Rhinolophus ferrumequinum: one gene and its partners. The protein of the gene in region 1 interacts with the protein of each later gene in a pairwise test. Links are inferred from orthologs where the notes say so. Each region holds a gene or a part of one and is shown in the gene's direction. Other genes may lie near its edges. The genes, in order: EHHADH, SSNA1, TRIM41 and ACTG1.

Evidence for each region.
Region 2: the proteins of EHHADH (region 1) and SSNA1 interact in binary tests that used the Homo sapiens proteins (3 or more experiments, as listed by UniProt). The two-hybrid records come from large-scale screens. The link is inferred for Rhinolophus ferrumequinum from reciprocal best matches to the Homo sapiens genes EHHADH and SSNA1.
Region 3: the proteins of EHHADH (region 1) and TRIM41 interact in binary tests that used the Homo sapiens proteins (3 or more experiments, as listed by UniProt). The two-hybrid records come from large-scale screens. The link is inferred for Rhinolophus ferrumequinum from reciprocal best matches to the Homo sapiens genes EHHADH and TRIM41.
Region 4: the proteins of EHHADH (region 1) and ACTG1 interact in binary tests that used the Homo sapiens proteins (3 or more experiments, as listed by UniProt). The two-hybrid records come from large-scale screens. The link is inferred for Rhinolophus ferrumequinum from reciprocal best matches to the Homo sapiens genes EHHADH and ACTG1.

Annotation. Positions count from the first base shown.
Region 1 is NC_046285.1:60,045,367-60,053,214, forward strand, and holds the start of EHHADH (peroxisomal bifunctional enzyme), read left to right. Parts: upstream 1-4,837; 5' UTR 4,838-4,918; coding exon 4,919-4,992; intron 4,993-7,848. UniProt on the Homo sapiens protein: Peroxisomal trifunctional enzyme possessing 2-enoyl-CoA hydratase, 3-hydroxyacyl-CoA dehydrogenase, and delta 3, delta 2-enoyl-CoA isomerase activities. Catalyzes two of the four reactions of the long chain fatty acids peroxisomal beta-oxidation pathway.
Region 2 is NC_046295.1:83,294,238-83,299,800, forward strand, and holds SSNA1 (microtubule nucleation factor SSNA1), read left to right. Parts: upstream 1-3,903; coding exon 3,904-3,955; intron 3,956-4,390; coding exon 4,391-4,590; intron 4,591-4,941; coding exon 4,942-5,049; downstream 5,050-5,563. Other genes in the region: ANAPC2 (anaphase-promoting complex subunit 2), read right to left, coding at 111-230, 500-674, 1,628-1,760, 2,792-3,414, 3,618-3,905. UniProt on the Homo sapiens protein: Microtubule-binding protein which stabilizes dynamic microtubules by slowing growth and shrinkage at both plus and minus ends and serves as a sensor of microtubule damage, protecting microtubules from the microtubule-severing enzyme SPAST.
Region 3 is NC_046307.1:4,182,999-4,190,775, forward strand, and holds the start of TRIM41 (E3 ubiquitin-protein ligase TRIM41), read left to right. Parts: upstream 1-4,760; 5' UTR 4,761-5,041; coding exon 5,042-5,848; intron 5,849-7,777.
Region 4 is NC_046304.1:54,455,611-54,463,508, reverse strand, and holds ACTG1 (actin, cytoplasmic 2), read left to right. Parts: upstream 1-4,885; 5' UTR 4,886-5,044; intron 5,045-5,411; 5' UTR 5,412-5,417; coding exon 5,418-5,780; intron 5,781-6,061; coding exon 6,062-6,500; intron 6,501-6,603; coding exon 6,604-6,785; intron 6,786-6,872; coding exon 6,873-7,016; 3' UTR 7,017-7,734; downstream 7,735-7,898. UniProt on the Homo sapiens protein: Actins are highly conserved proteins that are involved in various types of cell motility and are ubiquitously expressed in all eukaryotic cells.

The DNA of each region.
Region 1 (7,848 bases):
ATGCTGCTTTAGCAGTGGCTAGCACACACAACAGCTCAAAATATGATTGGTTAAATACTTATTCATAAAACAGTTATCAAATAGCCCACATCATATTTACAAGGATTCCATTATCTAACCTTGTTAAATCTCCCTAGGAATTGCTATACAACATTTATTTTAACTTCCAATGTATTAATCCTCTCAAAAACTGAAATAAAATGAATTTGGCATATCGTGTTCTTAGTGAGCACAATATATCTTTGATGATCACAACTTCCTTTTCACAAACCATCTCCTTAATGAATTATTCTAAAATTTCATAAGGTATTGATTTAAAACTCACCAGTCTACAACATCTTTTATCATCTCTTTGCCTATTCACAAATCAAAACATTTGCCCATCTTTAGTCTTCTGGCCCCTTTCCTTTTACTTCAGATTTCTGAAAGCTATAATCATGTCCACATAATCTCCAGGCTTAAAATCAAGGCACTTTGATGGGGCAATCTGGAAATAAATAACAGATGCTAGAATATTTGATGATTCTATTAATGGAGGTCTGAGTTATGCCAACCTATTTTATTTTGACCTTAGCAATGAATGGTCTATTAGTTTGAATCCTGTTTGCTATTCAAAGCAGATGGAAATATAATGCTAGAGAAAAGACACAATTCAATTTGATTCATCTCAAGGGAACATAAGACTAATAATGGCTAATAATATGACTATTTTTACTTAGTGGCTTTCGTAAGCCAGACAGATTCTAAATGTGTATTCACTCACAAAGGGAGAAGACCATGCTTGGTGATAAAGAAAAATACAATATAACTCGTATTTAAGAACAACTAGCCTAATAATAATAATAATAATAATAAAAATGGACAAGAAGTATTGACGAGAATGTGAAGTTGAAAACCTTATACATTGCTATATGGATTGTACATCAAACAATATGGCAGTTCCTCAAAATGTTAAACAGAACTGCCATATGAGCGAGCAATTCTACTTCTAGGTATGTACCCAAGAGAATTTAAAACATACTTTACACAAAAACACATACATGAAATGTTCATAGCAGTATATTCACATGAGTCAAAAAGTAGAAACAGCCCAAATACCCATCAACCGATGAATGAATAAACAAAATGTGGTATGTACATACAATGAACTATATTATTCAGTAATAAAAAGGAATGAAGTACTGATACATGCTACAACATGTATGAATCTTAAAAATATTATGCTTAGTGAAAGAAACCAGACACAAAAGGCCACATATTGTGTGATTCTATTTATATGAAATATCCAGAATAGGCAAATCAGTAGAGACAGATTAGTGTCTCTGTTAGAGTAGATTAGTAGTTGCTAGGGGATAAGAAGAAAGGGGAATTGTAGGTACAGGGCTTCTGTTGGGGTGATTAAAATGTTCTGGAATTAGAGTGTGGTAATGGTACACAACTTTGTGACATTAAAAATCACTGAATTGTACACTTTAAAAGGATGATTTGTATAGTATGTGAGCTATATCAATAAAAATTAATTATCCTTTTAAAAAAGTGAAAGGAAAGAAATATCTTTATGGATAAGAAATAAAGAGTAAATATGAGTTAGGGAAACATGAATATGACCTGACTGATGACAGGTGCAGAATCCAGAGAATAGGTGCTACTTATAGGGCCACTGACAAATACGAAGAATGCCCCGAACAACCAACAGCGTGAAGAACTAGGGATACCTTATCATATGAGAAATGATAGTTCCTGAGAAAGGGCCTGAAAAGGAACAGACTTAAGACAGAATTTGTTAACATCTTTGAATATTTGCTGAAAAATAATTTTATTAATGGGAGACTTAACGTATAACAAAAGTAGACCCAGGGAGTAATTATTTCTGAGAATAAAAGTAGAATCAGGGAGTTGAAAGTCCTAAGGACTTATTTCAATCAGTGAAGATAATGACTGCATCATTTTCACCACAGTTGGGTTTTCTTTAGGAATCCTGATAGCTGGTTAATCTTCATCATTATGATACTAAATATATGTGTGTGTACACGAGTGTGTGTCTCTCCAAGGCTCAACACTTGAGCAAGCCACTTGAAATGCTAGAAATGGTCATTTACTGATATTACTGGTATAGTGAAGAAAATATTTATATCTCACCTTTTATTTCAACACTTGCGTGGGCAGCTTTTCTTAAGCATCAGCCAACTTCCCTGTTCAAGAGTGTACTCACTGCTCATTGCTTCACTGTTTTAGTCAGGACAAGTTGAAATGTTTTAACAAACAGACCTACATTTCTTTCTTTCTCCTGTAGCAGTCCATGTTGGTTCCAGTCAATGGGGTACCTCTCTCCTCAAAGTTGTTAGGGCGGTCAGGCTTCTATCTCTGGCTCTGTCTTCCCCTGGGGCCTGCGGTCCATTTGTATCCCACATTAAAAGGGGAAAGGACAGGGAAGAGCACATGTGAGATTTTATCACTCCAGGTGGAAAGCAATATTTTGCATTTGTTCTGGATAAACCTGATTGGTTTACCAGAGATTTCAGCTCTGATGGACTTATGCCACTGTGAAATGAAGTTTCACAACACAATACCCTGTCAGTTTCCAGGGCTTACAGGTCACCCATGCAGGGAAAGCCAAGTTTAGGTAGGCATCTCTGTTCTTCCTGTGAGTACACAGTAAGCACATAAATTTTAATATTTACATTCTTTTATTTTTCCTGAGATCTTTAATGAACCACTTCTGATCCACTGATCTATTTTCGTGAACTGCAACATAATGACAACAATGACAAAAGCATATTTAACAAGCAAAAGCAGTAACATGCAAATGATGTGGAAGTGCCTTAGCCAAGAGGAATGGCATCCAGTTAAGTAGCACTTACTGAGACAAATTGAATGAGAAGACAATTTAAGCATATAACAATTCATCACAATCATCAAGCAACGATCAATGGTCAAGCAGTCTGCAAGAAGCAGCATGGTGCCATCTGCTAAATTGGCTCGCCACATTCAGATTTGGCCCATAGGAGCCCAAAATAAATTTAGACACTTTATTATTTACATAGACAGCAAAAGAAAGGTCAGCGTGGTATCAGCTCCCTGTGTTCCTAGTCCCACAGGATGACACCAAACAGAAAGTGCTGGATGAAGGATGACAGGAACCAAGTTGCTCTGTTGTTGAGAAGCAGGGCAGGGTCACCACTTGCAGAAATCTGAGAGTAAGTGCCCTCTTAAATTTTAAATTTGATGGAAGTTTGCAGCTGTATCTAAGGGATGGGGGTGGAGGGACTCAAAGCAGAAAGTTCTGTGTTCAACTGAAACTAGGAGATAGATGAGAAATGATGTGTGTCTGACTCCTCCAAGGTAAAGATGAAAAATTGCCTCAAAATGGCTCCACGTCCTCCTGATGTCCCCTTGCTCCAGGAAGAGTTTCCGGCCATTCAGAGCTGTTATGCCTTGCCTACACAGCCTTTGTGGAGGCATTCAAACTTGCTAGCATGCCACGGCAGAGTTCTTCTCCTAGAGACCAATGTCTGAAATAAGAAGACAAAGTTTAATTTACTGCTTCCTATAATAAGGGAAAGCTCTGCAGGTCATGCACAGGCTCTCTGAGCAAAGCAAACTGCTGATCTTACATCGAGGTTCTGGGCAAGGTAGAGTTCAGGGACTGGCGAACCTGCAGAGGCATTAAAGATTGATATGACCTGTAAGAAGCTGGTTGTTGGCACCCAGAGGCATTGGCACTGGGCTGTTTGTGACTGGTACAAGTGAGGTCTGTCTTTGACAGATTGGATCCCTTCTGACTGCTACTTGTTTCCAGGGCTTCAAGGCAATTGGCATTTTCACAGGAGCTGGAGCCTGTTTTGAATTCCAAGAAGTGAAAGAATATCTATGAAAATAGTCCTTAATCATTGTTAAAATTTGTGGAACACCAGTGAACAAACTCATTCCGTTGTTCTTTTCCTCTGAAACTTCCAGACTGCCCTCGGACCACTTCGCAGACTGTGGAGACCACCAGAAGCCAATCACATCTAAAAGTCCAACCTGAACTTTTAGAGAAAAGGGTTTGAGCCTTGTTTATCTTTAGTCACCTGCCTAGACCTGGCCCATAATAGGTGCACAATTCATGAATGAATGCAGTATTAGAAGTCACAAGCCTAAGGAATGGCAGAAGAAGAAATATGAGGACTGGGCAGAAAAGAAACTCAGGTTTCACTAGGTTGCCATACGACTGTTCTGTAAATACTCAGTTCATGTCAGTAGGTGAACATTTAGGTGAAATGCATGATGCATGGATTTAATATTCCAGGTTTGTGTCATATCACGTAATTGTCAGGACCCCATATATCGGTCCCTGTTAAGGATCATGAAGATGAAAATTGTGATAAGGACAGCTCCACAACTTAGTGAACTCAGAATTTGCCCAGAGAAATCGGGTTTGCAAACCTCCACTTGCTGGCAATTCCACCCATTTTCCACTGTCCTCCTAGATCTGCTTTGTGATGGGAGCAGGTAGGGAGCCAATAAATAGAAAGAGGGATCAAATGTACGGTGATGGAAGGGGAGCTGACTCTGGGTGGTGAACACACAGTGTGATTTATGGATGATGTGATACAGAATTGCACAACTGAAATCTATGTAATTCTACTAACAATTGTCACCCCCAATAAATTAAAAATAAATTAAAAAAAAAAAAAAAGAAAGAGACGACGAACTTTTGCAGACGCGGAGCTGGGGTCAGGGGGAGCAGGAGGGCGGCGACGTAGTGTGCGCGTCGGTGCGGGGGGGGGGGGGGGGGGGGCGGCCGGGAGGCGGGAGGCGGCGCTGGGCTCCCATTGGCCCCGCGGGCGCCCCTCCTCGCGGGGCTGGACCGGTGCGCAAGGAAAAGTGGCATCGCCCTGCGGCGGCTGGCGGAGGCGACTTCAGCGACCCGGGAAACATGGCCGAGTATACGCGGTTACAGAACTCTCTGGCGCTGATTCGCCTCCGAAACCCGCCGGTCAACGCGATCAGGTAACGGGCTCGGTCGCCTCCAGCCTGGGGACAGCGGGGCCTTCCCCGCCTGCTTGCTCAGGAGGCTTTGACTCTCCCCTCCTGGTTTAAACGGAGAAAGACACTGACTCAAATTGAACGATGGCGTTTGCCAGGGCCTTTTACATAGGTCAGCTTGGTGAATCGTCGCAGAGAACTTTCATGCCCATTTCGCTGGGGAGGAAACCAAGGCTGAGAGGCAGACAGATGGCTACGAAGCGGGGGAGCTGGACTCGAACCGGGTCTGCGCATGCCAACTTCGTGCTGAACCCTTCTGCTTGCTTGCAACTTTGACTTATGTGGCCCACTTTGTGTTCCAAAGGTCTTAGTGCAATGCTGGCTGGACCTTGATCCCTCATTTCTCAACCTGGAGCCCAGGCAACCCTTACATGTGTGACTGAAAGCTTTAGAAATCTGACCGTGTGGCTTCACATTTTAAAAAATCAGTAAAGGTCCTCATTGCCAACGCAGTGAGGAAAAGAGAATTGAGCCCGGGCCCAGAAAATGCAGTCGTATCTCCTGATCTGTTTAAACCTCAAGGCCTTAGTGCTTCAGTAGAAGAGTAAGAGTAAGAGTAAGATTATTAAATACCATTTTCTGAAAAACTGTGCACTTTATCTTTTATTTCACCGTGGAATACCTTTCTTGTTAAACTCTCTTACCCCAGATTTGTACAATGCACTTACAGCATTACTTTTAAAACTGAGATTAATGCTGCTTTTTGAAAATTAATGAAGTTATTATATAGATTTGGTCATCCCATATCTCTGAAAAAAGTATATGATCGATCAACCTAGGAAAGAGCCACCCATCCACAGGGAGGAAAATTAGTAGAAGTTGTAATTTACGATGAATATATACAGTATAGAGAGAAAGACCTTTGGTTAAAATTCTTACTATCACATGCTGCTGGAGGAAAAAAAAAAAAGGCGAAATGAGACCTGCTAATTTTAACTAATTTTAACTGAATTTTTATCCTATCATCCGATTTGATTTTATCATTTGTATTAATATTATAATTCTCATTTTTAATACGAATTATTACATTGAATAATACAAAAGAATTGCAGAAATAAAATCACACAAGGATGATCATTTACTTGCCATTCTCAGAAAAAAGTAAAATATTCGTTATTTTGATTTTGATGAAGAAAAACATAAGTAATATAATTACATACCCATTTTGGACGTGTCTATATTCTCATTAGAATTATTAGATATTAGGACCGTCTGCCTCAACCTCTGCCCATAATGGGAAACCATGTCCATCAGGAACTTGAGGGGGGATGTTCTACACTCTAATACCCATAACTAGGGATATTTTCTTATAATTATTTTTTAAAGTTTATAGTATTTAATCCACCCTCCACTGACCTTGCAGGAGAAATGTTACTATCTGCCTCATAAAAGTTGTTGTGAAGTTTAAATGCTAGAGATTATAAACTGGCATTTAATAGCTGTTAGCTATCATTATTTCTGTTAAGCAGAGGCCTGTTACAAGCCCCTACCACGGGCTCTGCTGCTCAGGATTCATTTCAGATTTATTACAATTTCCCCCACTTGGGAATAAATACTTTCCTGCCCTTTTTTCTATCTGCTTCTGAAGTTCTGTTTTAGGTAGAGGTGTACATCCCAGCACGTTCATTCAATTTAACAGGTTCCCGATTTTTTTTTTCTTTGTACTTTTTCTCCTCCTTTCTTCCTTCCTTTTCCTTGTACTGTTTCTAATTTTATGTGGAAAATTATCTCTTCCTAGATCACTAAGAGATTCTTATCTGAAGAATTTTTGGGCCCAAACACATAATTTAAATCCTTTGCTAGTTTAGCAAGTCATGTTTCCTTCAATTCAGATGAATGCTAACCCTCTTTACAAGTGTAGGACATGCCTGATTCCTAGGCCTATCTCTCAACTCAATGGCTTTCACACTTTTTTTTATTGTCATTTCACATGGAAACCACATGTTTTACAAAGCAACCTAAACACACACACATACAAATATATAACCGAAAGCTAAGTTTCACAAAACAAAACTTATCTTTACGTGTTATATAGTTCGATATATTCTATTTTCTCCTCTTTTCTATTTCTTTGTTTTAAAAAATGCTGGTCACAAGCCACAAACTTCATTTGATGGCATTCAGTTTAAAAATAAAAACTGTCACAAAAACCATATAGTCACAGAAGCTAAAGAGTTTTGGTCAGCACTCTTTAACTGTTATCTTTATTCTAAACTCCATTCCTTCATACCTGACAATATTAAGAGGACAAAACAATTTCTTAACCTCTGTGACCTTGACATTGCTACCAGGCTGTGGTCCCTTTCACTAGACTTGAATCTAGTAAAGTTGTATCTATTACAGCCATTTTCATTTTTCTTTATGTCCTGTATTTGATTTTGACAAAATTAACAAGAACATAAGAAATAGAGTAGGGGTTGGATGAAATGGGATAAACCACCCTCTTCTCCTCAGTGGCACTGATTAAGCTCATTTTGGCTAATTTTTACCCAAAAGGAAATATGTGCCTTTTGGACTTCTCAGTATTATGGATGGTTCAGAATCTGTTTTTTGTTAACCAGTGTATTTCTAATTAACCAGTCGAAGACAAGAGGTTTTGTTTGATTTCATCTAGTTTAACTGATGAAAAGTAACAAGGTGAAAGGGGATTATCGTATACAAGGGCAAGTATCTCCCTTATTCCGTCAGGTTTTAACTCAGAGTTGCTCGTCTGACCAATCTGGCTTTTTTAGAAGTTTGCTGGTTTTTTTCATTTGTATTAATATTCTTTTTCCCACGCTATATGTTAAAGAACAGACATTGTACTCAGAATTCCCAGGC
Region 2 (5,563 bases), on another chromosome or scaffold:
GTGGAGGCCCCCAGCCCTGTAAGGACTGCACAAAACTGCTTCTTAACCCCTTCCCCAGGGCCGGCTCCTGGCCCTGGGCCCTGAGGGTGGACGGCGGTCGGCTGCAGGACCTGGGTGGAGGAGCCGCGTCTCCAGGGCGGCCTTGAGAGACGCGAGCAGCTGCTGCCGCTGGTCGGTCCTCTCCAGGCAGTACTTGAGGTCCTCAACGGCTGGCCGGGAGTCCGGGAAGTCTGCGGGAAGAGGGCCGGTCTTGCACACGCTCACGCACATGTGGCATGCACCTCATGTCGCCTGCCAGGGAGCCCAGAGGCAGCGGGGCCTGAAGGGTGAGCGCTGTTGCCCTCAGGCCTTCATGTACCCACACATTTGACCACAAGTGCCCTATGGGGCACACAGGCCATCCAGAGTAGGGACGTGAGAGGGCTCGGACCCCCTGACAGCTGCCCTGCTGGGGGCGGGGGGTGGGGTTGGAAGCTCTGCTCCAGGCAGCGGGGCCGACCTCGGATGACACTGAAGAGCTCTTCGATTCGCAGTCCAGCGTACACGCGGTAGAAGAATTTCTGCACGTGGCAACGCCAGCGCCGCAGCGTGCTGCCGGCCTCAGGGGACGCGGGCCTGGCGGGGCCATCCTGCAGGAACACCTTGCCCAGCCAGCCGACCACCCTCTCGATCCACTGTGGGAGAGCACAGGAGTGGCAGGTGGGGCCGAGCCCAGACTGACCCAGAGCGACCCAGAGCAGAGGCTGGGCGAGGCGGCACAGCTACCACCCTGCTGGCCGGGCCCTGGGGAGTCCCCAGGGCCACCTGCTCTAGAAGCCAGAATCACATTAGCAGGATGATGGTCAAAAGGGGCATGTCAGGCCCTCCACCAATGCCCCCCACGCCCTTCCACGTGCGACAGTGGCCCTGACCTAGCGCACGGAGCACATTCTCAGCCCCCCTGAGGACAGACACACCCTGGGGACTGCATACACGACCAGCCCCTACATGCAGACAATGCAGCATCCAGCGAGAACATTTCTGAGCACATCATGTACGTCTACAAGACATACTGCCACGTGCTCTCGGGGATGCACACGTCCCCCCAGCAGACTGTCCAACCACCGAGAAGACCACCCGACACTCTGCAGCCTTGGGGCTACCCCATCACGCTTCCAGGCCCACGCCCACTCCAGACCACTGCTGTGGGACAGCTCTACGCCCCCATGGCAGCTAACCTGTACCCTAAGGAGGCAGACTCCAAGCTGGTCGGCACCCCATGGTTTGGGCCAGGTCCTCCGTGACTCTGAGGAGTTCAGAGCAGAACCCAGACCACGCCCCAATAGCATGGGTGCCCTGAGGCCCCTCACTGCCTCCAGCCACGTGATTCTATACAGGCCTTGCTGCGCACGTCGCAAGCTCTTCCTGGTTGTCGCTGGGGGGGGGGGGTGGGGGGGGGGGGGGGATAAAAAGGCCCACAGGGACCAGCCTCCACCCAGCAGTAAGACAGCTTCAACCACCCGTGAGGTCCTGGCTCACCTGGCCTCCACGTTCGGGCTACTTCTAAAGCCAGGGTGTCAGGTTTGCCAGAAACCTATTCCCCAGTCCTAACGGGACACAAACCAAGAGGGGGCCATGTGGAACTCACCTTGTGGAACTCACGCAGGAAGGAGCGCTCGTACTCGCCCCGGCAGCGGTCCTCCATCCGCTCCCGGGTCACCTGGTGCAGGGTGGTGGTCACGGCCTCAGCACTGACCCGCTCCAGCAGACTGAGCCTGTGTCTGGAGGAGAGCCCTGCCCATGGAACGTGCACAGCGCATGGGCTGCACACACCACCCCCACACCCAGCACACACCTCCCATGGCCCTCCTGGTGGAGGCACATGGTACACAGGGCTTTGAGGAAGAGCTACTGGGAGGAAACAGCACTGGCAAGGCCCTGACCATCCTCCCCAGCTGGCCTTTCTGCATGGGCTGGGACGCTGACCTTGCCCATGTGAGCAGCATGTACGATTCAGGGGCCAGTCTCATCTCCCAGAAATGGCTCGGAAACAACAACTACACACATTGCCACCTGGCCACATGTGTACACATGCCATGGTTGGTGCCGCTCAGGGCCAACCCTGGCTTACAATGGCAAAGGGACTCAAGATAGGAAACGTGAAAGAATGCTTGTGTGTGACTCTCATCTGGGGCGAACCCAGCAGACATCATTTGGGGCCTCCCTGATCCCTACCAGCAACAGGACCACTTCCTAGGTCCAGGAACAAGACCCTCTCCCTAACAGCTGCACTGTTGGCACTTTTCTCAACGTGATAAAACTGTCGTAGTGGCCACAGAAGGTGGAGAGCCAGTACAACAAGGCATGGCTCTAACAACAGAATCCTTTCCTCTTCAAAGGGAGGTGTCTGCTTGCCCAGCATGCCAGCCTTATCTCCAACTTGTTCCCAAAAAGAAGAAATAACAAGCCCACCTTCTGCAATTACAGGACAGGGTGAGCACCACTGCTCCCCCACAGCCTATAAAAGGCACAGTTGAATTCTGCACGGCCCAAGAACCTTGGAATCACACAGGATCTTAGTGAAAAAGTGTGAAACCTTGGGCTAACTTGAGTCACAGACAGACACGCCTGTGTTCAGGACAAAAGGTGTTACAGCGCAAGGCTCTTGTGGACCCTCCCTGTCATGTCCATGGCGACCAGGACAGGTGGCAGAGACCCCAACTAGCTCACCAGCTCTCTGCAGAGGCCAGCAGGGCCCAGGGGTGCAAGCGGGAATCAGAAGAACGGGCCTGGCCCGGGCGCGAGTACTCACAGGACCTGGCTGAGCTGATGGAACTGCTCCAGGGCCTGGCGGCACCAGCACTGCTGCTTGTCACTGCCGCACCCCGCACACACTGGGCTCTGCAGAAGCCGGTAGTACCGGCGGCGGGCATACCTGCTGTCCAAGTCCCCCTCCAGTTCCGGGTCTGTGCCCCCTTCCCCTTTCCTCTTACTCTGCAAGTAGACTCTCAAGAAGCGCCCATAGAGGCGCTGGACCATCTCCTGAAAGCTTCTGGGGGTGGAGAAGAACAGCACGCCCCGCAACGTGGTGTGGACCTTCTCCCGCAGCCCCTGGGCGCCGGCGCCCATCAGCAAGCCCAGGCGAGTCCATTTCTCCAGGAGCTCCAGGCTACGCAGGTAGGGGTCCAGGCGGCTCTCCAGCAGGCCGAAAGCGTCGAGGAGCAGCAGAAGGCACTGGGGCTCGTCGGCACAGTTCTCCCGCTGGGAGACGGCATTCCAGAACTCGAGGGAGATGTTGGCCTGCAAATCGTTCTGCAGCACCTCCACGAACCACTCCTCCAGGACCGAGTGCAGGCCGTGGCCCTTCAGAACCTCCACCGCCGCCCGCAGCTCCTCTTCCTTGGGAGGGACCGCACCGCTGGTCCGGGAGGATGCCTGGAATGCAGAAAACCGTGAGGAACAGGGGACACAGCGTAGAGGTGGCAGAGGTGGGGAAGGGACAGGGCGCAGGGGCCGCTGCGGAAACTCCGCTGCCCCTCCTCGGCGGCGCTCGGATGCTGGGTCGGGGTGCACGCCCTCATGCAGCGCGCCGGTCCGGGGAACGCCGCGCAGGCCCGCCGCCCTCCCCCGGGCCTCACCAGTCCCAGCGCGGCCGGCGGCACCAGCCCGGTGCTCACGGTATTCCAGGCCGCCAGCAGCTGCTGTGTCGGCCCGGGGCGCTCCGCCGCCGCCATCAGCACCCACCAGCATCCAGAGCCGCTCGGCGCCGCGCGCGCTGATGACGCACAGCTAGGCTCGCGCGCGCGCAGCGGTGAGGCGAACGGCAGGCGCGCGGAGATGACGTACTCGATGCGCGCGCTGTTGAGAGGCAGTGCGCAGGCGCGGGCGGCGTTGCAGGAGCGGCGGTTGGAGTGGCCGGCGACCATGACCCAGCAGGGCGCGGCGATGCAGAACTACAACAACGAGCTGGTCAAGTGTGAGCGGCCGCGCGGCGGGGCCTGCCGGGCAGGCGGGGAGGGCGTGGGGTCGCCGGCTTGCAGGCCCCGGCAGTAGGTGGCCCGCAGCACACGGCCAAGTTAGTTGTCCTGTGGCTGCGAGGGTGGCCCGGCCCGGACGGCGCGCAGGCGGTTCGGAGCTGCCCAGCGCACAATACCTAGCTCCTGGTGTGCCACGCACCAGGTGCTAGGTATCTGTGGACTGAGGAATCGCTTGAGCTCGCACTGCCTCCAGGCCCAGCGCCCGGTGGCCTCCAGTGGTGCCGCCTTTAACCTGAGACCCCTGGGAGCCCCGGCCGGCACCTGGTCTCTCTACCACCTTTCTGTCCTACAAAGCACTGGGATTCAGAGTAGATGGGATGGTGCTCTCCTGCCTGCCCTGTGCCCACAGCCCTGCCCCCGTCCGCCCACCCTAGGCATCGAGGAGCTGTGCCAGAAGCGGGAGGAGTTGTGCCGGCAGATCCAGCAGGAAGAAGATGAGAAGCAGCGGCTGCAGAATGAGGTGAGGCAGCTGACTGAGAAACTGGCCCGCGTCAATGAGAACCTGGCACGCAAGATCGCCTCTCGAAATGAATTTGATCAGACCATCGCAGAGACCGAGGCAGCCTATCTCAAGGTGAGGCTCGGGACAGCTTGCGGACCTGTCTGCCATGCCCACAAACAGAAGTGACAGGACTGTGGCACGGCCAGGCCCGTCATGGAGTGACTTGGTGTGTCCCCGGTTGTTCTTTGCACCATACTCAGTACCCACCCTGTGGTTTCTTCCAGACTGAGCAGCCGAGCGGCAGCAGCAGGGGCCAGAGTTAACCTGACTTTCCAGGGAGTGAGGAAGGGGCTTTGGGCTAGACTCAGAGGGAAAAAAGGCCCTGCCGACCCTATCCGCCTGTCCCCTCGGGCTTCCTCTTCGCTGGGCTATGGGTGCTTCTGACAGGAGGGACAGTGACAACCATTTCGTGTCTGTTCCCAGATCTTGGAGAGCTCACAGACTCTACTTAGTGTTCTGAAGAAGGAAGCTGGGAACTTGAGCAAGGCCACAGCCTCAGAGCAGAAGAGCAGTGGAGGAAAGGACAGCTGACGAGGCCCAGGAGGGGAGGCTTGCCTCCACTGCGCCCACCGATGGCTTGGCCCCCAGCAAGTCTGTCTTCAAAGCATCTTTGTCCTTCACGACAGCAACTGCTTTCTCTCACCGTCTTGCGTGCCGAGAGAGGCAGCTGCCAACCTCCACTGCCCTTGGGCGCAGCCCACCAGGTGGGGGTACTAGCCATGCACTCACACGGGCAACAGGGAGGGTGGGCTCTGGGTCAGCTCCGCGTGGGGCCGCTCTCAAGCCCCCACATCTCCCCAGGTTGTGGGAAGGCCCTGCTTCTGGCCTCAGCATCATGGGAATCCCCTTATGTTTTCCCTCTGCCGGCAGGTGCCCAGGCCAGGCAAGTGGCGGAGGGGCTGGGGCCCTCCTTCACCTCAGGGCTCACTCTGGTGGCCTGTGACTGTCAGTAAAAGTTGTCTTTGTAAAGGTACATGCCAGTTTGCTGCCTGTGTCCTGTTGGGAGAGGGCGGCTGCCCGTTACACCCAGAATACAAGCTTCCCC
Region 3 (7,777 bases), on another chromosome or scaffold:
AATGTTTTTCCATTGCCAACGCTGATTCCTGTAGACCTACGGAGCCAGGAATTGGAACCGAGGCTGAGTCCTACCAAAGGACCCTTGACATGTCTGTGACCTGGGAGCCCCTCTCCACCAGAGAGCCAGAGCTGGAGGTCCTCTTGTCCAAGTCTAGTTCAAGGTTACCAGGGACTTGTAGGTGGCCCAACCCATGGATGTTTTACCGCTTTCCCTTATTAGACCATACTTTGATTCTACCAATCTTTCTCCCCCTTTTTATACATTTCGACTTCCTTGGCCTCTGTGGAATGTTGGTTGCTGGCTTTCTTTCTCTTCCAACTTCTCCTTTATCTACAGCTTGACAACTTCTATCCCCACATCTATGGCTCCAGCAATGACGGCTCTGCCCAAACTTCTGATTCATGTGTCTTGGCCATGTCCTTTTAGACATCTCATAACCTCTAACAGATTGAACTCATTACAGTAGTCCCCCCTTATCCAAGGGGGGGTATGTTCCAAGACCCTAAGTGGATGCCTGAAACCAGGAATAGTACCAAATCCCATATATGTTTCTTTTTTCCTATACATACATACCTTTTCACTTAAAGGAAGCACTTTACATCTTCTCTGTGGCATATCTGAATTGCCAGCATCACTACTCTTGCCCTTTGGGGCCATTATTAAGTAAAATAAAGGAGACTTGAACACAAGCACTGAGATACCCCACCATGCAGTCTGGTAATCCAGATGGCTACTAACTGACTAACGAGCATATACAGCATGGATACCCTGGATAAAGGGACGATTCATGTCCTGGGTTGGAGGGATTGAGATGGCATGAGATTTCATCATGCTAGTCAGAATGGCGAACAATTTAAAACTTATGAATTATTTATTTGTGGAATTTTCCATTTACTATTTACTTCTTTCTCCTCTCATCTAAAGCAGAAACCTGGGAGCCCCTCTCCTGGTGAGGGTACGAACCATGCATCCAGCTCCTTCACCGGCTGCTGCCTCACCCCTGCACCAGCCACCTTTTGTCTGGACTACATCTGCCCTTCCAGCCCCTCTCCCTGACACAGCCTCCCTTCCCTCACACCTCCTGCTCATCATTTCTGAAGGATCTCTCTAAAATAGAAATGAGAGCGAGTCCCTTTGCTTCTGCGGCCTTTCATTACCACTCTTGATAGAGACCAAAGATCTTACCAGGGTCCCATGCTTTTGCTGAACATCTGAACTGATGACATTGACTCCTCTATGCCAAGAGCAGTGTAGGTCACTTACTCGGAGGGGGATTTCAAACCGAGAGCCTGGCGGGCGAGGCTGCGGTGGCATCTGTGGAGGAGAGAAAAGCAGGAATTGTAGCAAAAAGCTCCCGGGAGCCCTCAGTTTGTTGGGAGAAAGGGAAGAGAAGTCTGTCCACTTTGTTTTCCCTTTAATGAGAAAGCAGCACTTTTTTGGCAATGTTTCCCAGTCACGATGGTGGGGGGAAAAAAACAAACAAACCCTGAAACCACAATTTGCAAACAAATCCACAAGCATTTGTGCAAGACGAAATGTCAAAGTTCACACTCTTCCAACACCAGCTTGTTTAGACCCATATGGTCCAAGATAAGACCTTGACGACAGTAACTCCCCAGAGACACATGAGCCAGGACTGAATTAGCAATTCTGTCTATTTTACAGACTCTGACCAATTTCTCAGAACTCCCTTGCTTCGACACACTTCTGAGACTGAAGGCAATGCTAGCTTAGCAAGGTTAATAAACCAGCTTTATATGATCAGCAGAATTCTCTTAGGGTCTGCTGTGTATGTGGGGAGAATTCTCCAGCTGGAAAATAGAAAATGGGCTGAATTTTTAGGACTAAAGAAACAATCAATAAGAGGAATGAATTTCAACTGAAGTTAAGGGAAAATTTCATGACAAGATCGGTAAACTGAGGATGTTCCTGTTACATCCTTTATGTGTGGGGGGAATGCAAAGGCTGGAATGTGTGGGGCAACATTTTGCAAAAGATCGACGGCTTAAAAATCGAGCATAAAGAAAACACACTGAAGATGAGGGTCGCACACCAAAAGACACTTCTTTCTTTACCCAACATCAGAATCAGGCGGTGGCGGTGAGAGCGCAGAATCCTGACTTCTACCTACACTAAGGTGCTACCATATCAGAGCTACGGTTTGGACGCTCACGAACGTTCAGGATGGATTTGCAGTCCCATCACAGCTTTGGGAAGCTACGTGTCCAGTGCAACTCGTCGGGACACCCGGGAGGGTCATCAGGTAAACAGAAGACGCCTCATCAGTGGGCAGTAGTAGGTGGATTTTAGCAAGTGCAATGGCAGGAATTTGTTCCCCTCATTCCTGCCCTAGGGCTGGGTGCATTCCAACAAGGGGTACTATAGTTCAGCTATTGGCAATCACCTGTCTAGCTCTGACACCTTCCTTAACCAAAGGAAGGAAGAGCACAGGAGATGCCTTTGTATCAAAAGTTCATTTCTCAAAATGACCACCGCCCAACGTGGGGCTCGAACCCACGACCCTGAGATTAAGAGTCTCATGCTCTACCGACTGAGCTAGCCGGGCAACTCTCTGAATCCTTCTATTCTGTCTGAGACAAAGATTCATATACAGTAATGTGGGCACACTTTAAGAAACGACTGACTGTACAAGTATTACGGAGCGCCCGCTGTGCGCCTGCTTTGTCCTACTCACTAGGCCCATCGAGGTGGGAAAGATGGCCGAGAGGAATTTGAGGGGAAGATCAAAAGATTAGCTGCGGTTCAAGACTGCGTTTACATTGCCAATACTTATGAAGGGTCTGCTGTGAGCGCGGCTCTGCTGCCCTCCCGCTTCTCCATCTGATTCCCGGAAACAGATACCGAGACACACACGCCCTTCCCTCCTTGTGAGGACCACTTCACCGGATGGTGGGATGAGGAAGTGACCAAAGAACTGAAAACTAGACCAAAAAGCTTGTTTCCGCCCGGTTTCGAACCGGGGACCTTTCGCGTGTGAGGCGAACGTGATAACCACTACACTACGGAAACCGTTGCTCCTAGAGCTTGACCGACACCACCCTGAATCTACACATAGTTCGGAATGGCGAGGCTGACCGAACCCTGTTGCAGCGGGACTGTGGGCTCCTTGCGCTGGCCCGCTGAACTGTGCCGCACTTCGCCGCAGCTCCTGGAATAGTCTACTATAGTTCACCCACGAAGTTTTGGCACCACACCCCTAGAAAGCACAGGTCCACTTGGAGTTTCCCCACGAGGCAGGGGGCAAATTCTGTGTGCCCAGCCCTGGCATCACACAGCGCCAGCACTCACTGGGGATTCTGAACAAGAATTACGACCCTATAACTTCCCCCGCCAGTTTTTTTTTTTTAAATGAAAGGACATATTTTTAAAAAGCATTAAGTATTATTTCTATCGCACAAGTCTTTACTAATAAACTTCTATCTACATCCCGGATACGATTCTCTCAAGTAAATTTAATACCACAAACAAAGTCTGAGCCCCTACTCTTAGGGAACCCAAGAAAACAGATCTCGAGGTATTTTCTTCGCGGAGCAGGCGTAGTACACAACTCTAGAAGTGTTGAATTATGGCATTTAGAAAGTTTTTTTTTTCCTTTAAGTAACGCTGATTTGGTTCAAAATTCAAAAGATATAGAATATCATATACGAAAAAGTGTCCTTTCTATCACGGACCCTCAGCCTTCCCAGGGACCCTCTGCTCCTACGGTATAGTATTCTGCCGGAGACAGATGACCGCGACGATCATAATGGGTAGCTGAACCTTCTATCTATGTGCTAAGCAACATTCTGATCGCTTTGCATAATATTAACTCTAATTTCACAAAACCTTCTGAGATAGGAACTATTACCCTTATTTTATATGAGTAAACTCAGGATTACAGAAACATCAAATACACTTAACATCCTCTCATTCTCTTTAAACAGATGGTAGTATACTCAACACACTGTTCAGTACCGTGCTTTTTTCACTTAATAACACAGCTTGAAAAGGATTCCTTTTTACAGCTAAAGCGTGTTCCACTGTGAATGTGCATGCAATAACTTGTCAGTATCCCTTTACTGATGTGCAGTTAGGAAAGTTCTTCTAAATAATGAGACACTGACCGGACGGCAGTTCCTGAAATAGGTGTGGAAATGTCAACTACAGTGCGGAGGAAGGGGAGGATCTCCGGTCCCACTCCACCACACTTCTTCAGGCCCCTCCCCCGATCGTCTCCGAGGGACGTTCCGAGTCCTCAAACAACAAAGTCCTCCGCCTAGAAGGGCCGGAAATACTTTACGGTGCTCACCCGGACCCGCCCCTCCGCTTCCGGCATCGGCTGTGGGGAATCCCTGCTGCAGTGGTCCGGGTCCGGGCGGTAGGATGGCGCCGGGCCGATGCGGTCATAGCACCGAGAGCGGACGATCGCAAGGGCTTCCACTGTCTCCCAAAGTTTATCCCCGGTGGTGGGGGACGGGGGGGGCTGGTCCTTCTGTTTCATCTGCGTTCCCCGCTGACCCGCACCACAGAGAAGTGGGCCATTATCATTCTAGCCCTCCTGTCCTGTTCCCGAGTGTGTGCTAGAGCGTCTCCTCGCCGTTTCCTGTCGTTCGTGGGCCCGGGGCGGAAAGGGGGCGTTAGCGCGACCGTGGAGGGAAGGCGGGAGCTTGCGTAATTCGTAGGCGCCGGAAGTGTTGGGAAGGAGGCCGGAAGTAAAGGGGCGGAGCCAGGAAGTGAGGAGGGGCGGGGGTTTATGAGGAGGCCAAGAGAGCGTTGGGGCAGATTTGCACTCAGGGCCACCTGAGGGACTTGGCGGTAGCGCTCAGCTCTGTCCCCTCCCCTGGCAGAGACACGATTGTCGTCTGGGAGTGGGAAACCGTGGAGGGGTGGGTTGTCGGGAGGACATTTCTCAGGCTGCGCTTAAGGCAAGGTGTGAAGAGGCAGGGCTGGGGGTGGGGCCGGGTCGCCAGGGCGTCTGAGGGAAGAGCCCCCGCCCCTACCCCCACCAACCACCTACACTAGCTGACTGGAGACTAAGATGGCTGCCGTTGCCATGGCACCCAACCCTGTGCAGACCCTTCAGGAGGAGGCGGTGTGCGCCATCTGCCTGGATTACTTCACGGACCCCGTGTCCATCGGGTGCGGGCACAACTTCTGCCGAGTGTGTGTAACCCAGTTATGGGGAGGGGAGGATGAGGACAGGGACGAGTTAGACCGGGAGGAGGAGGAGGAGGAGGACGGCGAAGAAGAGGAAGTGGAGGCTGTGGGGGCCGGTGGGGGGTGGGACACCCCCATGAGGGATGAAGACTATGAGGGCGACTTGGAGGAAGAGGTCGAGGAGGAAGAGGAGGATGTATTCTGGACCGGTGGCATGGGCGAATCCAACTGGGACAACATGGACTACGTGTGGGAGGAGGAAGACGAGGAGGAAGACCTGGACTACTACTTGGACATGGAGGAGGACCTGAGGGGGGAGGACGAGGAGGACGAGGAAGAAGTGCTGGAGGAGGACGACGAAGAGGATCTAGACCCCACCACGCCGCTGCCTCCGCCTCCGGCCCCTCGGAGGTGCTTCACCTGCCCCCAGTGCCGGAAGAGCTTTCCCAGGCGGAGCTTCCGCCCCAACCTGCAGCTGGCCAACATGGTTCAGGTGATTCGGCAGATGCACCCAGCCCCTAGTCGGGGGAGCCGTGGGAATGAGCAGGGCGTTTGTCCCAAACACCAAGAAGCCCTGAAGCTCTTCTGCGAGGTGGACGAAGAGGCCATCTGTGTGGTGTGCCGAGAATCCAGGAGCCACAAACAGCACAGCGTGGTGCCACTGGAGGAGGTGGTGCAGGAGTACAAGGTGAGAGAACTAGAAGATGGGAATTTTGTGGGGGAGGAGAGGAAGGAAGAGGAGCTGGGAAAAGGAAATGTCTCCCTCCAAAGAGCATCATGTTCTAGTGAGCTGATTCTCCTTATCTAAGCACTTATTGGCACCAACGTGGGTTAGAGTGAGAAGGATCCTGTACACAGACAAAGCAGACACAGAGAAGACCAGGAAAGATTGGCTTTCTCAAAGGAAATTGTGCAAAGCTGGCAATGCCATGTCACTGGACTGTGTTTCTCCTGGGGGAAAGCCACTGCTGTTTCACACGTCCCAATGTCCCTAAGTGTAGGAGTGCAGGTGACAGGCCCTTAGGGCTTTACCACTGGTCTCATTTTCCTTTTGGTGAATCTTAAGCCTTTGACTGAGACCCTAGAGATGGGAAGAACTTGGGATCTCAAAGAACAAGAAAGGGCTCTGAGGAGCAGGAGCGTAGTAATGACTCCTAGTGTAGACCCAAATGCTCTGCATTTGCCTACTTTTGGGTTCCCTACCTTGTAATGTGGCTTGGTTCACTCCCTGAGGACTTTTGTTGGATCTGTGTCATTCAGATGTGCTGGCCAGAACTTCTGACCTTCCTGGGAATTGAGAAAAAAGGGAGAGACTTTTAAATCATAAGTTCTGGCTCTGCACCTATTCACTTGGGCAAGTCCCTGAATGTCTTTGAACTTTAATTTGTCCATGATTAAAAGTTAGTATTTACTGAAATATACTGTGTACCTCAGGCATTGTACTAAGCACTTTTCATAGACTATCTTATTTAAAAGAAAGAGCAATCCTGTGAGTTTGATATGGTTTCTATTCCCATTTCACAGACCGGGAAGTAGAGAGAGATTTAAGTAATATACACAGGCCGCACACCTACTAGTTATGACACCCCCCTCACACACTGTTATGACACCTCCAATACTGTTAACGACACCACTCTTTAGATGTCTGTTAGTTTGACTTTTTTGACGTGTAACTTCTTGGAGACAGATTCTACTTTGGTTAATATCTTGCCCCCTACTTCTGATCCTGACTTTTTTGGACATAGATAAAGGAGATCTGGCCCTGAGACAGCCAGCTCTAATAGCAATGCTTAGCGAAGTAGTGGGACCAGGAACAGGAGAGAGTAGCTTCCTTGTGGTTGGTGTAGAGCTTTTTTGTTTTGTAACTTCTGTTTTCATACTTGGGTTTTCATACCTTCTCCTGATTCCTACAATAACCTCATTTAGGTATTATCATTACCCCGATTTTAGAGAAACACGCCTAGAGCCTCTGATCTATCGAATAAGTGCTATAGCTAAGACATCTACATCCCCTCGTGACAAATTGACTAGACAATGATTGTCAAACTCCGCTGATTGTCTGAATTACTCATGGAGGTTTTCAAAACTACAGTAGACCCTACCACTAGAGATTCTGAATCAGTGATGGAGAGAATATCTTTAGAAAGCCCAGCCTAGTATGGGACTCAGTGCATTGGAAATATTGCCCTTCATTATTAGGGGAGATTATGAGCTCCTTTTGCCCTTCCCTTTAATATCCTCTCAGTTCCTAGTTAACTGTACCCATTAAACAATGTGCAGTCACTTTGTTAACTCGATCCCAGGGTGGAGTATCCATGGGCATCCCACTCCTTCACGCTCCCCCAACGGGACTCTTTCAAAGAGCTTCTGAAACGGGATTTTAATTTGTGTTAGCCACATCTGTTGAATGCCAGTCCAATCGGAGGTCACATAGACACAAATAATCCGACACTGACTGATCAGCAAATGTAAATACATAAGCTTTATTATATAGAACTAATTTGAGTGATTCTCTTTCTAACTTATAGGCTATTTTACAGTCAGATACTTTATTCCTTTCAGATACGTACATTGTACGTACATTAACTAACACCAGCTTGGCACAGTATTTTGTAGA
Region 4 (7,898 bases), on another chromosome or scaffold:
AGGGATGTGCCTGCCGGGTGAGCTGTGGCCTGGCAGGCACTCTGCTTCTGGTTTTGGCCACGTGCTGCGGTGAAGGGCTGTGTCTGTGAAACAGCTGGAAGCCCGGATTCCTGGGTTTAATCCTCCTTTCCCATTGCAATCTGTGAACATGGTTCACTGAGAGTGAGGACGATGCAGAGGGGGACATTGTCAGTCTCCAGGCAGTGGTGTCACCTGTCTGCAGAGCCCCAGGGAAGCGTGGCCTGGGGGGTGCCCTCAGAAGCAGAGTGAGGACCTGCGCCCATTGCTGCCACTGCTCCTAGAAGTCTTGGGTGTGGCACACAGTGTCACTGAGCGAGTGCCTCTGAATTGTCACCAAACATTGAATGCCTGTGGATGTCAAGGCTGAAGGCCTGGGAAACCTCAGCAGTGAGGCCTGGGGGCGAAGGTTGGCTGGGCCACCCGATGGCCTCCTGTCCCCAGACCTGCGGTCCAGCATAGGAGGGCCACCATCCTCTGCACCCTTCTCGTCACTCGCCCATCTTCTTTGCAGAAGCTGAGGCACAGGGGGCCACAAGTGGCCCAGGGCCGAGCCCAGCCCAGACCCAGCTCCCCACTTCCAGTCCAGTGCTCTTCCAGGGGCCTCCTGGGTTCCTGCCGCACCATAGTGGGAACTGGGGAACCCCAGAGCAATTCCAGTGGGGCCTGTCTTCAAAAGGCCTGGAGTTCTCCATTGCTGAGGCAGCAGGCAGAAGAGGGGCTCAAGGGCCCTTGATCTAGGTGTCTCTATGTCTCTATGTGGGTGCACTGTGAGCCTTGGTTTACCTGTCTGTGAAGTGGCATAGTTGTGGTGCCTCCTCAGGCAGTGAGAACTGGATGGCACGAGGAGGCCTGGCCCGGAGCATCCCGGCACAGGACAAATGGCAGCCATGAGCACACAGCTCCAAACTCCACCCACAGTGGCGGGAGTGACCATACAGAATGTAGTCTGAATACTTCACAGGGCTTGGGGATGGGCACAGACCTCCGGGTGTGCCCCTGGACAGCTGGACCGCCTGTGCTGGTCTGCAGCGCTGGAGAACAAGGCCCAGCTGGGCACCAGACCAGACACAGAAGTGTGTGGCCCTGACCTTGGCCTGTGATATGAAACTCAGAGGCAGGCAGGAACCTGGCCTTGCCTTCCAGGGCAGCCCTTGGGGACCCCTGTTCCAGATAGAGCCACTCCCAGGGCTGCCGCTGCCTCATGGGAACCCGTCCAGTGCACTGGAGCGGGATTTAGGTGACACAACAACCATCTTGCATTTGATCTGTCCACAGGCTGAGAAGAATAGGCAGTAAGCTGAGGGCAGGTAAACTGGTTTTCTTTGGAATCTTTAAAAAAAGTTCTTATTATGAGATAATTTAGAGTTACAGAAAAGTTGCAAGGACATGAGTATTCCTGCAGCCTCTCCACCCAGTTTCCTCACTGTTAACATCTGTCATGGTACAGCTGTCCTACAAGATTGACCTTGGTATTTAGTATTCATTAAACTCTAGACTTCACTTGTATTGCACCAGTTCTTCCACCACCAGCCATTTTTGTTCCAGGATCCACCCCAGGACCCCATTGTCATACGTGGAGAAAGAAGGAAAGGCATTCCTGGCAAGTGGAATGGCACAGGCTAAGGCCAGGGGCAGGGACTCATTGCCAAGTTCCCTACCCCGTCTGCCTGACGAGTGGGAGGCAGAGGGTTTAGGGGGTGAGGGTGTGTAAGGGTGTGCTGCGGGCCACACTACCAGGTGCAGAGGTGACCGAGATCTTGGAGAATGTCCCCGTAGGCAGAAGCAGGGAGATGGCAGGCAATGTGAATCAGAGGGAGGAAGACTCGGGCAGGACCCCGAGCTGGGTTTGGGGCTGTCTCAGCAGGGCCACAGTTCCGTGCAAGGTGGCGCTACGCTACCTCCCTGCTCAGCAGTTTTCTCAGCCATGAAATGAGACCCAGGGAGGTCACAATAAATCCACCAAAGGCAGCAGCGCTGGGCCAGGAAAAAAGTCACATATTTCTTTCTCTGTGGCCCAAGTCTCCATCCTCCAGATGGGAGGGACACACCCACTTCTGGGCAGAAGGGCAATTGCTGACTCTCCCTCCTCTCCAGGGACTCCCTGATCATGGAGTCCGGGATGCCACATCCGCTCCTTCTTCTCCCAGGAAGGTCTGGCCCTCTCCAGCCTCAGGAGGGGTGGGGGCGGCCCTGAGTTTCCAAGAGCACAGTCCAGAGGTGACCTTGGGCAAGCCTCGAGTTGCCCAGTTGCAAAACAGAAAAATCTCGGTGCAGAGTGTGGTCCTCGCGCCAGGCTGGGAGACCTGGTTCTACCTGGGGCCTGCGCCCACCGCATCCACTCACTCCTGGTTTCCGGTGGTGCTTCCCAGGCGGCAGGCACCCCTCTCCTACCAAGCCAGGCATCCACCTCTGCATAATCCCACTCCCTGCGACCACTAGACCTCGGGGGCCGCAGGCACCCACACCCCCTATTTTCGCGGTTCGGTCTGGCACCGAGCAGCGGAGCCTCTGGGAGGCGTGGAGGGCCGGGGGTGGGGTGGGGAGCGACCGCCACCACCCCACTCCCTGCTCCCTCCGAGACGCCGGGGCCGCCCCGCCACCGCCCCTTTGTTTCGCTGGCCAATCGACGGCCTCCTTGACTAAATAAGGCGAGGAGCGCGCCCGGCGCCCCCCGTCCGTTACTTCCGCCTCCCTCCCGGCCGGTGACTCAGGCCCGGCGGCGGGCGGGGATGGGACTGCCTGGGACGCGGTTTCCCCGGCGGCTCCGAAATCGCCAAATATGGCCGCGCCGCGCGCCGCCGCGCCCCGCCCGCACACCTGCGGCCGCACCTTGACTCCCCCCGCCGGTGACACAGCGGCGGAAGAGGAAATAGCTCCTCCCCCCCGCATCCCAGTTCCTGCGGGTGGGGGGGATGGTGGACTATGGAGGGGGAACCCCGAGAATCCCGGGGTTCCTGGGCCCCGCCCCATTTCCCCCTGCGACCCTTTAGCGGTGCACCCGGCGTCCTGGCGACTGCAAGGTGGGGAAGAAGGAACTTGGAGGGGGGCAGAGATCTATAATCCTCTGTTTTCTCCACTGTCAGTAGAAGCAGCCCGGGCCAACCGGGTTCTCGGCACACACCAGACAAAGGAGAGCTAGGAGTGGGGCGGGGAGCAGGCGCCCCGGGGTGCCCCATTGAAGGCGAAGGGGCCTGAGTAGAATGTGGGACGGGTGGACACACAGCAAGGAAACCTTAGATAATTCCCCACCTCCTCTATGTCCTGTGTGTGACATCTTGGGACCCCCCTCCCCATGGATCAGTCTCCTCGCATCGCTGACTCCCATCTGGGGGGCTGAGCAGTCGTGGTTGTGCCCACCGCGCTAGTAAGGGTGGGTTTTCTGGAGGCCCAACCCCGGGGTTCTCCAATGGGTGGGGCATGCACCTGACCTGGAAAGCCCGGGGAGTCGGTGACCCAGCTAGGCCTGATGGCCATAGGCAAGGCCTTGGCGTCTGGGGGACTGCAGCGCACAGGTGAGCTGGGCGGCTGCTTTCGCTAGATGTGGTCACCAGCTGAACTTGCAGGGCTCCTAGGGCATGTGGCCCTGACCCCCAACCGTCAGACACCTGCCCGGAGCCAAACTGAGTGCCTGTGGCAATGATCGAGTCCTTTCAGTCTGCGCAGCGCCACTGCCACCCCTCTTGACCAGTGCTCTCCCTCATGCCTCCTCTGGTGTTGACACTGAGCCGTTCCAAAAGTTACAAATAAGCCCGAGGAAAGCACAGTACCTGCTTCCCCTCCGGGCATAGCCAAAGCACTGGCACCAGCAGGTGCTGCCAGGCCGATGTCAGGTCTTCCATCGCAGGCTCCTGGGGAAAGGGCACGCCCTGGACCCAGGAGAACCCACAGCCCCAGGCAGCCGGGGGCCAGAGCCAGGGGGCAGGGACACAGCGCGGTCGGCCTGTTTCCAGGAATCAGCAAACCCATCACAGCCCTGACCCGTCTCTAGTATCAACAGAGAGGGTCCCCTTCAAGTCTAGCGGGGAGTCAACCGTTCAGGCAATCAGGAATTCCCTTCCCTGCCTCAGTTTCCCTATAATGCCCACAAGTGGTTAGAAGGAAACAAAGCCCCATTCCCTCCCCAGCGGATGGGGGTAGGTTGCCCCACATCCGGAGTGAAGCCGGCGCCTGAACAATCAGGGCTGCGGTTTGAGGAGCAGGATGTGCCCTGAATGAGTAGAACCGGGCCTGTTTGCACCGCCAGGGACTCTAAGCAGGGCGCCCCCTTCTCTGGCGGAGGGGCCTGCGCAGTCGTAGCTGCCGTGTGGGACCAGGGGGCGAGGTCACGGCTCCCCGGGGTGCCCCAACACCAGAGTGACACATGGCGGTCGGCGGAGACCCTCACCCGACCCTCCCCCAGCCCGGCACCGGACCCGGGAATCGCCTTCGCGGCCAGCCTTTCTGCTGAGCCTGGGGAGGAGGCTCGCAGGGGTCGCGAGGGATGCACAGCCCCCCAGCGGGGCCGGGTCGCAGCGACACACCCCGACTTCGGGCGCGGCCCAGCCCCGGGCCAGGCAGTTTCGGGGTGAAGCCGGGCCCTCCCCCCACGACGCGCGGCAGTCCCGGGGCGGGGCCGGCCGGTCGGCCCCGCGGTCCTCTCCGCGATTCTCTCGCAACCCCTGAGGGCACTCGCCCGCCCCGCCCGCATGCTATTAGGTGCGGGGTCTCGGGCGCGGGGTCTCGGAAGCAGGGCGGGTGCAGGCGGGGCCGTTGGAGGCGGCGCGGGCGGGGGGCGGGGCCGGGCGCGGGGCCCCACGTGTCCCGGCCGAGCAGGCCAATGGGCGCCCGGCGTTCGGAAAGATCGCCATATATGGACATGTTCTGGGGCCGCGCGCGCCACCGCCCCGCGCGCGCGCCCCGCTTCGCTTAAATAGCGGCGGGGGAGGCCGCGGTCGGTCTCACTCGCTGCAGCCAGCGTCCGTTTGTAGTTCTCTCGTTGCTCCGCTGTCCGTTTCTCCGCGCCCCGCGACCGCCGCTTCCACCGGTAAGTGGCCTGGCCTTCGTGCCCCGGTCCCAGTCCGACCCCGTGCACCCTTTTTGTAGGTTCGTTTCCGGTCGGAGAAGCCCGGCGCGCCGCTGTCGCGAACAAAGGGTGGTCGGGGCGGACGGGTGGGCTGGGACGGAGCTGGTGCGGCGGGTGGGGGGGAGCAGGGCGGGGCCGGGCCGCAGTGCGGAGAGCCCCCAGCCGCGCCGCCGCGGAGGATTGTGGGGGGCGTCGAGAGGCCCGCCCGGTTCCAGACGGGGGCGGCGACCTCGGGGTGGGGGCAGGTGCAGCATCTGCTCGGAGACGGTCTCCAGGGGCTGTTTCTTGAGCACCAGGGCCCGTCTAAACTCGTGGCATCTTTACTCAGATCGCAATGGAAGAAGAAATCGCTGCGCTCGTCATCGACAATGGCTCTGGCATGTGCAAAGCTGGCTTTGCTGGCGATGACGCCCCCCGGGCCGTCTTCCCATCCATCGTGGGGCGCCCCCGACATCAGGGCGTCATGGTGGGCATGGGGCAGAAGGATAGCTACGTGGGCGACGAGGCCCAGAGCAAGCGAGGCATCCTGACCCTCAAGTACCCCATCGAACATGGCATTGTCACCAACTGGGACGACATGGAGAAGATCTGGCACCACACTTTCTACAATGAGCTGCGTGTGGCCCCAGAGGAGCACCCTGTGCTGCTGACCGAGGCCCCCCTGAACCCTAAGGCCAACCGGGAGAAGATGACTCAGGTAAGGGCTGCCCTGAGTCTCCTGCCCTCCCCTCCTTTTCACAAGTCATTTTCTGTTCAGCTTCGTTTTCTGAAATTCAAGTATTTCTTTCAATATTTCCAGGGTTCTGTTCCTCTCCTGGCATTTCCTCCCTGAAGTCTCAAGGTTTCTTATTTGTGTTTTTGCCTGCTTCCTTTTCTTTTCTCCACACATCACATTTGTGGCATGCTGGCATGCAGTGTGTGAGCATGGGGGGCCCGGGTCCCCGCCTATGACTAAGGAGCCCATTGCCTCTCGTCCAGATCATGTTCGAGACCTTCAACACTCCAGCCATGTACGTGGCCATCCAGGCTGTGCTGTCCCTGTACGCCTCTGGCCGCACCACTGGTATTGTTATGGACTCTGGGGACGGGGTCACCCACACCGTGCCCATCTACGAGGGGTACGCCCTCCCCCACGCCATCCTGCGTCTGGACCTGGCTGGCCGGGACCTGACCGACTACCTCATGAAGATCCTCACGGAGCGTGGCTACAGCTTCACCACCACAGCTGAGCGGGAAATCGTGCGTGACATCAAGGAGAAGCTGTGCTATGTCGCCCTGGACTTTGAGCAGGAGATGGCCACCGCTGCGTCGTCGTCCTCCTTGGAGAAGAGCTACGAGCTGCCGGACGGGCAGGTGATCACCATTGGCAACGAGCGGTTCCGGTGTCCAGAGGCGCTCTTCCAGCCCTCCTTCCTGGGTAGGTGTCAGGAGCTCCGCTTGAGGCTGCTCAGAGGCCTGCACTGTCTGCCCTTCACCTTGAAAGGGAGGCACGAGTGCTAAGGGAGAGCTTTGTCTCCTAGGTATGGAGTCCTGTGGCATCCACGAGACCACATTCAACTCCATCATGAAGTGTGATGTCGACATCCGAAAGGACCTGTACGCCAACACGGTGCTGTCTGGTGGGACCACCATGTACCCCGGCATCGCCGACAGGATGCAGAAGGAGATCACGGCCCTGGCCCCCAGCACCATGAAGATCAAGGTGAGTCAAGTGTAGCTGTGGCTTGGGCTGGGGGGCCTTGTTGGGAAGGCAGTGCCACGAGCTAAAGCCACGCTCTTGTCTCCCCAGATCATTGCCCCGCCGGAGCGCAAGTACTCGGTGTGGATCGGCGGCTCCATCCTGGCCTCGCTGTCCACGTTCCAGCAGATGTGGATCAGCAAGCAGGAGTACGACGAGTCGGGCCCCTCCATCGTGCACCGCAAGTGCTTCTAGGCGGACTGCGAGCGCATGCGCAGCGTCTGCTGCAGGAGTTGCCGGAAGTCTGTTTGCCCTGGCAGACGTGCTAGCCTCATGAAACTGGAATAAGCCTTCGAAAAGAAATTGTCCTTGAAGCTTGTATCTGATGTCAGCACTGGACTGTAGACCTGGTTGCTGATTTTGACCTTGTATTCAAGTTAACTGTTCCCTTGGTACATGTTTAATACCCTGTGCATATCTTTGATTTAAACCCCTAGTGCACGCGGCTCGGTCACTTGCTGGCTGAAGCGAGGACATGTTTATGCGAGAGAAGCCCAGTGGCTTGGTGATCTGCGAGACCATGCGTTTCTGGATCTGTGCAGGGTATTAATGTGCAGAGACGCCTATTCCAGGATTTCTCCAGAGGCTGGCAAGAGTCCTGAAGCAGTTGTCATTTCTGTCCTGCCGGTCTGACGGGGGTTGGGAAGGTCCGAGCATTAGGACCCCTTTTCTTTTCTTAGCTGATGTTTTCCTGCCAGAACACGTGGGTTGTTACTTCCCCTGAGTTGGAAAACGGTTTGCATTTACACCTGTAAATTTATTCATCCTTTTAATTTATGTAAGGTTTTTTTTGTACGCAATTCTCAATTCTTGAAGAGATGACAACAAATTTTGGTTTTCTACTGTCATGTGAGAATATTAGGCCCCAGCAACACGTCATTGTGAGGAAAATAAAGTGCTGCAGTAAACTGCCGGCTGCTGCTGCTGTTGTTGGGGGAGGGGTGGCCAGACCTGCCTGGGAGGGATTTGGGGGAGGGAGGGACAGATGTCCTCTGCTCAATTGGGCAACAGTTGGGTTTCTCCCAAACCTGCAGTGTGATTAGCATTTTTAGAACAAGGAGCCCCAGTGAACCGGGT